2 linked regions of the Schizosaccharomyces pombe genome follow. The gene in region 1 interacts genetically with each later gene. Each region holds a gene or a part of one and is shown on either strand. Other genes may lie near its edges. The genes, in order: SPOM_SPBC1271.05C and cbh2.

The links.
Region 2: mutations in SPOM_SPBC1271.05C (region 1) and cbh2 together harm fitness less than expected from each alone (positive genetic interaction), as found in Schizosaccharomyces pombe (one large-scale study listed by BioGRID).

The regions. Positions count from the first base shown.
Region 1 is NC_003423.3:360,593-365,426, reverse strand, and holds SPOM_SPBC1271.05C (zf-AN1 type zinc finger protein, involved in ER membrane translocation), read right to left. Parts: upstream 2,578-4,834; 5' UTR 1,986-2,577; coding exon 1,338-1,985; 3' UTR 566-1,337; downstream 1-565. Other genes in the region: dys1 (eIF-5A-deoxyhypusine synthase), read right to left, coding at 1-12.
Region 2 is NC_003423.3:4,179,949-4,184,394, forward strand, and holds cbh2 (CENP-B protein 2), read right to left. Parts: upstream 2,491-4,446; 5' UTR 2,463-2,490; coding exon 918-2,462; 3' UTR 789-917; downstream 1-788. Other genes in the region: sorting nexin Snx41, read right to left, coding at 1-134, 253-540; pho8 (alkaline phosphatase), read right to left, coding at 2,844-4,237, 4,372-4,446. UniProt on the Schizosaccharomyces pombe protein: Binds to the central core and core-associated repeat regions of centromeric heterochromatin.

The sequences.
Region 1 (4,834 bases):
AGATTCATCCATGGTTTACGATAATTATCGGTATGGTAAATTTCTGAATAATTCCAAAAAAAAAAAAAAGCTTTTTAATATATGTAAATGAGTCTATTTAATGAAAGAAAATCAAATATTATAAGACTCAATTCCCTTAGTGTAGAGGAGAAAAATTCTAACAACACGAATGATTTAAGCAACAATTTTGATTTTTATAATTTATCAAAAAACCCGAGAGAAGATGACAATTATTCTAATTACTCTCTCAAAATATGAAAATTTTTAAACAAAAGGCTAAAAAAATGAAGAAAAAAGTTTCCAAAGCAGTTTTCGTTGACTTTTTACGATATACGTTCCGGGTACTGGGTTTCGTAGAAAATCGATCTACATGAATTGCCTGACTTGAATGAAAATTTCCATCACTAAAATAAATTTTGGATTGATGCGATTAAATTACTTGATCGGATGCCGACCAAAAGAGTTGAATACATGATTTCAAATGACTATAAGCGAAAATGCTAGGGGGCTTTACATTACAAGTATAAGGAATTATAACTGGTTTAAATCTAAGTACTTAAAAAAATTTTAAAGCAACTTTCAAAGATTTATTCATCTGTTTAAAAATATTTCAGCAATCTATCGGAAAAACAAGATAGTCAAGTCCAAGAAACCCACAAAAAAATGAGTTAGCTGACACTAGGTATTAAAACATTGCACCAAATCAGCAGGCAACTGGAGTTAAGTAATTTTGATCTTAAAGCAATGAATTTTTCATAAAAGTTTTTGAGAATACCAGATGGTAAATTCAAGAGATATGTGGCGAACAGAGATAAGAGTAGTATAGAAACAATTAAGCTTGATTACAGGTACCGAGTTCACCAAATCAACTCACGATTACAGTTGAGGATAGTAAAATATTAGAAAGAGCATATGAAAATTACACATGGCTCTAATGTCAAAAGCCTACTGCTTGGCAGACGGGAAAAAAATAAAATAGAAAGTAAGTATCATAATGGAAGTACGATTATTCATTAAACAGTCAAATAAAACATTAGAAAATGCAAACGAAAATGAGGTAACTGCTGTTGAAAAGGGAAAAAAAGTAGATCAAAAAATCGTGGATCCATCATTACTGATTGAAATTATAGGAACGATAAAATTCGGAGCGTCAAAGGGAAGATATTTAGAAAACGAAGATGACGGGAAAGGTAACGTGGCCTCCCGTGCAAACAAAGCCAGCTAAAACATTAAAAATAATAATAAGGATAACAGTAATAATAAAACTCCAGCTTAAGAAGAAGAAAAAAAAGTTCTAAGATGGTGTTTTGTAAAAATGTTCAAGTTAAGAATGGATTTTAAACTTTACTTATCAAGGTATCACCATGTTCTTTTTCAAGTTTTATACGGTTGCGTTCATGCTCTTCCTTTCTGAGAGAGAAAAGAGCAACGCAATCATGATCTTCCATAAGACGATGGGCAGCACAAAATCTGCCATTGCAATGCAAGCAATTGCCAGCGAGGCGCAAAGTAATCCTCGTGCAAGTTGGATGGCAACAACGTCTTCTAGAAGTCGCTGGGCGGGTAAGTAATGCTTTGTCAGAACTCTTCTCGGATTCAAGAGGAGGGTTTGTTAAATTGGATTTAGAAATTGAGGGAATGGTAGAGGATTGCTTGAAATTCGACACAGCTTCCGTAGATGCATGATTAGGAGTTAAAGGGGAAAAATGTAAGTGGAAAGCAGATGTAGAGTAGTCTTTGAAATCAATGTCACATGAAGAAGGTAATGGTGCAATATGAACGGCAGAGTCGTGGATAATGCCATAATCAGCGCAAGTCATATTCATGTTTAAACGAGTTCCATGGTAATAAAATGCATGGAGTGATTTTGCATTTTTTGGGAGGATTCCCTGATCAGATAGCAAATCAAAGATATTTCCAAGACTAGAATGCTCGTCTACTTCAATTGAATAAGATTGTGAAGCGATAATTTGCAGCAGGACCATGATTTTACAAAAACAATAGTAAGGGTGTAGAGGATGAAGCAAGAAATATTTAATGAAACAAATAACTTTTCAAAGGAGAAGTAAATCGAAAAATAATCAAAAGAAAAGGAAGAAAAGAAACGTACCGGATACGATAGTGATTAGACAGTAAAGAAAAAAAAATAAAAGCTGTAGCAAAGGAAACACTGATTTAAAAAACAGTAAAAGGCAATTTTCAATTTAATTTAGAAGAAACCGCGTAGATATTTAGCAACGGAAGCGTTTCGGTTGATGAAGTAAGCAAGCAGATTTCAAGAAACAATCAAACACTTCCTTTCTTAGGCAAGGAATTTTGGTGAAAAGAAGGTTATAGAAATTCGAAAGAAAGGTAATTCTATTAGAATTTTAAACAAAAATGTGATTCACTTGTTGATTAACAGTGAAATCGATGATTACAAATCAAAGTACAGTAGGAAAGTAGAAGGCAAAAGTAAACAACTTGAGAAACACTCAAAATTCACAATTTTAAATATTTATGGAAACTCTTGGCAGGCGATCAATTTTTGAAGACAATTGATTCTTTTGTGAACGTTTTGGTGGTTGGCTTTGGGATGTTTTTCTTTCTTCCTAATTCAGCGGATAAGGGAGAATTCCAAAGCAAAGCGAGATAGGGGATCCGACGCTAGACACATGTTAAATGCCGATAATCATGCTCACCTTTCAAACTCCAATTGAAGGATTAACGAGAAATTAAGACGGATGAAAATGGCAGAATATTGGTAGGCAAGAGTAGCTAATACAAGGGTTGGCAATGCCGATGCCACCTAAGAGAGTACGGACGGGAATGCTAATGCAGGACGGATACGGAAGATGGAACGGGATTAATGTTTTGAGATGGCAAAGACGACCTTGAACTTTCAGCAAAGCTCTCGACTCGCTAAATTGTTTATGAATACCCTTCCACCAAGATTGATAGCAAGTTGGTGCACAAAGGATACTTGGTGCTGGTGTTAAATGGGTTTGGAAATTTAATATATTCGATTAATTATGCATTTTGTATTTGTCTCCTTACTTAAGACGTTGGGCGCATTGCAATGGATGAATGTTAGCAACTAAACTCTATATGTTTACTTGGTTCTTTTACTCTTAAGTTACAGGTTTTTCGTCTATAATTGTTATATTATTTCAAATTTGTCTATGATTAAATTTTTTATTGCTATTATTTATTGATGACTATTTGAATTGACTTTTTTTTAATTCGCATTCAAATCAGTGGCGTGAGCTTGATCAGAGTATCCATGCAAGGTGCGAGTGCTAAATCGAAGCCGCTTAGAAAATCAAGTTTTATTCCAAAATTGATTTTAATATGTCTTTTTTTCCCTTTTTTTAACAATAATTTCACTTCAATTGATCGCTTTGTTTCTTAAGTTTTTATTTATCGGCCTCAAGACTCCAGAATGCCAAGAATGTATGCCAATTTTGTTAATCAATCATCATGTTATAAACAATTTACATCTATTTTTACGCATAATATTTGAATCAATGGCAGATAGGCAGTAGAGATCAATGATTCTTAGATGTATCAAGACCAGCAATGACAAAAATGCAGATATCAAATTGTCAATTCGGTTTTATCAAATATCTTCTAGAAAAGAATTAGTTAAAAATCAACATCCAAAATTTATTTAAGACAGATCAAATTTAATGGATCTGGGCATTTGAGAAACGTTGATGAATTCCATATAAACAAACCGCTTATCAATTTCGAACACAGTCTCTATAACATGATTTACGCTCTTTAAGAGATTCTTTTTCTTGGGGAGAAATCCAAATTGATACAAAGTTTAGTAAATAGCTCATATTTCTGGAATAGTTTCCTACGGCAAAAGAAATCGTCATTCTTTTATAAGCGATTTTTACCCTAAGTTCTCTCAACGATGGTATCCTTTGCAAAGCAAGAGAAGTCAAAGATGAAAATGCTTCAAAAACACATTATTCTATAATCTTTTTTATTTTGCCAAGAATTCAATAATCATTTATTAGTGATTGTGGGTAACAACGCTACTTCGTTTAGTCAATGACACTTCAACTTTTTTTCAACCTAAATTTTCGGTTTCAAAATCCACAATTTTGAAGGGTAAGGTAAAAATCATTTATTTGCGTATTCATTATTGTTCATTGCGAAGTGAAACCCTATATTTTGGACCTGATTGTTCTTGTTTTCCAGTAGTTGACGTGTTGGGTTATATCAACAATAATGAACCTGTTCAGGTTTTATCTTTATCCAGTTCATAAATAGGATAAGCAGTCAGGCGAGCAAGTAACTTTTTGAATTGTTTTTGAATACAATCTTTATTTTATAATAGAGGGGAATCACAAGTCGTTTGCGTTATGGAAATGTCCGATACGTTTTTTTTCGATCGAAGCCAAATAGTAAAGTTGCTTAGCTAGGACTTTGTTGCAAATGATGAATGAAAAACTTGGGTTACTGACAAACAATAGCAAAGTTATTTTACTCATTGTTAATTTTTCTTCTAATCCAATATACAGCCGCAGTCATATGTGGCTTTACTAGATGGAATATGCAAAGCGTCATACCTCTCAAAAAAACAGGAAAAAAGCGTTGATTAACTGTCTTTGTAAAACTTTCCGACAATGTTTTTGCATTCCATTTTGTCCTGCTAATTGCTTTAACCATTTGTTTACACATTTTTTTATTTATACTACCATTTGAAAAATGCGAACTTTTTTATTCACGAAGACAAAAATTTATAAATTTAACGATCATCATAGCAATATCTTTTCCAAAAGGATCGAACGGAAATGCTGATTATTGGAATGAGGCAAGCGCTTAAAATATACCAATCAAT
Region 2 (4,446 bases), 3.8 Mb from region 1:
TTGGTGACGTTTATCAAGTAATCCATGATTTTATGTTTATCAGGTAATGGAGGAACCAAGCAAGTAGGATACAGGCGGCTAAGTTGTACGCGCAAAGAAGCAAATTCTGAATATCGATGGTGTATTTCTGAGTCCTAAAAACCGTTAGTAATCAAACATTTCAATACTTCCAAACAAAAGAGAAGAATGAAGCAAGGATTCTACAATGAATAGTTCGACTTAATACATTATCAACCAATTTCCTTAACTTACTTGAAGTTTGATTATATATACTATGTGTGATCCACTCTCAGCCTTCATAGCTCCAGTAATTACAATTCCGTTTGGATCGAGGGCTGAATCAACAACACTATCTACGTCCTTTTGAAAAAACATGTTTCTACTTTGAAAACTCTCATTCGGTTGGCTAATCGCATTCTCTTTGACAGATGAAGAGCCCTGGTGCTGTGATGGCTCAACTTTTGGCTCTACATTGACAGCAGAAGAGGCGCTTCTGTTGTCAGAGCCAGAGAATGGATTATTATCTTCAAAAAAATCCATTCAATTGTTTCTCACAACGTCCAATTTCAATTGCAATGCTGAATAATGGCGTTTGGAGTTGACAAGTACAGACAGTCATACTGTGTTGATTAATGCATTGCGCTATGCTTATTTTTCGCAAAACAAAAAATTTGTCCCAATTCAATTTCGTAATTTAAACAATTGATTCTTCACTTTATTATTTTATCAATATATCTTATTGAGTTTATAAACGCTTTTAGCGCGAATCTCACATTAATTGAAATAGTACGTCTAGTAGTTAACCTTTAAGAATTCACTGTAATTATTTATCTTTCTTATATTCTATAAAAATTATTTAAAAGTATAGAAAATGTGTACATTTTCGTTAGAAACAAATTTTCCAATTCCCACAACCTTTACACAATCGATCTGCTTTCTAAAACCTTTTGAAACTGAAGTAATGTTCGAGTAAACAAAACATTTCCATCTTCCGATTGCTCTTGAAAGTTTAGTAAAGTATTGATGGCATTTATCGCATCCTTTGTTGATAACAAATACTGTGACTCTTCCTCTTCTTCATCGGTTTCAAACTCTCGTTCATCAAGAAATTGAGCAGCAACTTGGTTAACGATATCGTCATTAGTGTCAGCAGAATTTTCTTCAATAGGGTTAATAAAATTTTCGATTTGGAAAATATCCTTATCACCAAGGTATTTTCCTATCAATTCTTGCAAATTCACCGCGATTCTAATGGTTTCTGGAGAAGGACCGGTCAGTGGTTGCTGATTTTGAAAAAGCCCAGAACGAAGGAAACAATTGTATATTATAGATGGTTCAAAGTCAACGTTCCAAGAACGAATCATCCATCTAACTGCTTTTAGTACATTCATTGTCTTACTGGGGTTCTTTCCCAATCGAATCTCCTCAAGCATGTAATTAAGCCAGTATTTTCTGTAGTATGATTTAAAAGCGTAGACTATCTCTTGGCCACAAGGATGGTAAATTTCTGTAGAATTTACAGGAAGGAAAACAACAGTCGTGTTTACCAACTTTCGCTCGGAATTGCGAATATTTTCCAAAGCGCATTCATGAGCGACAAACTTATCCAGTATAAGTAGAACTTTCCTACCCTTCATCAAATCGTCAAACCAACGAAGCCATTCTTCCATAATGGAAGTGGTCATCCTAGCGGTTCCATTATATCGCCAATGAAAATCCATGGAATCAGGATGAGCATTTGCTTGCCGAAAGGCCCTTGGACTTTTAGCATATCCAATCACCCAAAGAGGGGCCTTTTCAGAACCTGTAGCATTACAACAAATAGTGACGGTGACACGAGCCTTATCTCTCGTAATTCCTTTTACTCGTTCACTCGCAGGAGATTGATTGGGAATAAGTTTCCAGCATAGCCCCGTCTCATCCATATTAAAGATGTCTTTTGGATCAAAAAGACTTATTAATTCCTGTATTTGAACCATGTTTTCCTCATACGTTCCTTGATTTACTGAAGTAGATTCACCCTGTAACTTAAGGCCGTGTTTTAAACAACGCTTTTTGAACTTCTCTAACCAACCGTTACTAAATTCTGGAATCGGAAGCTCAGAGTACTCCGGTATACGTCTCCACAATTCTGCGGCGCTTTTTTTGATGGCGTTTCCAGTAATTGCTCCGTCTTGTTTTTGCAACCTCGTTTGCCAGTCAATAAGGGCGTTTTCTAAGATAGGATATTTTCCTTGGCGGTTTCTTCTTATTTGAGAGTTTTCTGCGTCTAGATTATCTAAAAATTCGTTCTTTGATGATAGAATTGACGAAACGGTAGATTGTGCTAGCTTTTTATGAAAGTGCTCCTCGAACCAACTAATAAGCTCTTGTTGCGAAGGTTTAGTTGCTGACTCAAAATAATGTTTTCTAATTGCTTTTTTTTCAGCTAAAGTCAACGCTTGACGCCTCAATGGAGGCATTCTCTCAAGTTTACGAAAAAATCGTTGTAAGGGAGGTAATCGCGGCTGTCGTGGATGATATGGATGATATCCCGATATGTTTGTGATATTTGATATATTAACGTGTTTGTTATTATAATATTATTATAATATTTTCGTTATGGATATGTTAACTATCTTTATTGCGACAAGTTGTATGTATAATTGTAATATTCGTTTGCTCTTAAATCGCAATTGTTGGATATCTCAACCACAGTGGAAATTAAATAAAGTAAAAGATAAGAAGTAAAATAGGTTTAACTTAAAAAGAATTTGAATGCCATAATTAAGCGATTTAAATAAGCTGAGCATATATGAGAGTATTCTAAATTATATATTTATGGCAATCTTGATTAAAAGGCTTTAAAACAAATCAGCACCGAAACCTACAAGACGATCGGAAAATGAAGTTTCCACTAAACTAGGTCGATCTGGGGCACCATGTATGGGAGCATCTTTGAGCTTTTCAGTTACATCGCTTAGTGAAACATTTAAGTATATCTCCATAAACTGTCCAATTTCAATGTTCTCCATATTTCCTCGAAGATGTTCAGTGACCTCTCCTACTCCATAAACGTTTACATCGACAGCAGTATGGCCGTGAGTGGTCCAGCCAATTTGTGCTTCTACACTAACAATATCACTAAGCACGTTTATAAGATTAAATATATTATGCCGGGCCACGTATATGTCATGAATCTGCTTTGGATTAGGGTCAGGAATGCCAATTGCGGGTAAAACAAACTGTTCAATATAAGGAAGCAACGTATTTTGGTTATGGTTCACGATAGCTGAAGCGAGATATTCAATAGAATGGAGAGCAAGAGATAGGACTTGCGGCTTCCATAAATACTCTGGATATTTTTTGGAGACCTGGCGACCAACAGTCAAACCACCAGTTTCATGATCCGATGTAGAGATTAAAGATCCTCCATTCTTTTCTACAAATGCACTTGCTATTTCAAAGGCCCTGTTGTATTCCATAACTTCGTAAACATGAGCGATAGGGTCATTGTTGTGAGAGGCCATGTCAATTCTACTCCCTTCTATGAGCAAAAAAAATCCTTTAGATGTATCTTCATTAGTGGCGTTGAGCAAAACATCCAAAGCCGTCTCTACCATTTCAGAAAGCTTAGGTTGCACTTCAGGCTGATAATCAATATCATAACTGAGATGATAATCAGAAAACAAACCAAGCAAAGGCAATTGAGCGTTTGATAGCTCATCAAAGTCAGTTCTATTAAGCAAAATTTGGAAACCTTCTTTTTTCCTAGCATATTTCAAAAGATCCAAGTTATCGGATCTACATGATCGATAAGTAGATTTAGGTAAGAATGAACAAAGTCCACCACCGAACAATAAGTCAACACTCCTTCCCAAAGGTCCCATCCCGACTTGGTACTCAGCAATTAAATCTTGCATGAATCGATTCGCGGCATGAGCAGAGAAAGAGGCAGGTGTAGCGTCGGTAACTCTGCTTGTGACAACAATTCCGGTTAAGTAACCGGCTTCTTTAGCAGCCTCTAAGATAGTTCCACAAGGTTTTTCATTATCCAAAACACCAACAGCTCCGTTGTAGGTTTTATTAGCACAAGAAAATGCGGTTGCTCCGGCTGCACTATCCGTAATCAAACTCGAACTGGAACGTGTCCGTGAACTGCCAATTAAATGCTCATCCAAGGGAAGCCTATAACCCTCTTTATCGTTTAGAGTCTCTACAAACGATCTAGTCATAGACAAAGAGCCAGGTCCCATTCCTTTAAAAAAAGTCAGTCACCGAGAAATATTGTAAAAAAAAGGAAGATTCCGTCCCAGTGCTCTAAATATAAAAAAAATCATTTTCCTTCAAAAGAGCAACGGATTTATGAGAGAGCTTACTCCAATCACTTACCGTCAGAAACCATCATAATAACAAATTTTGGTTTCTCATTGGTCCCTTTGGACTTATGAGACGAGAAAAAATAAA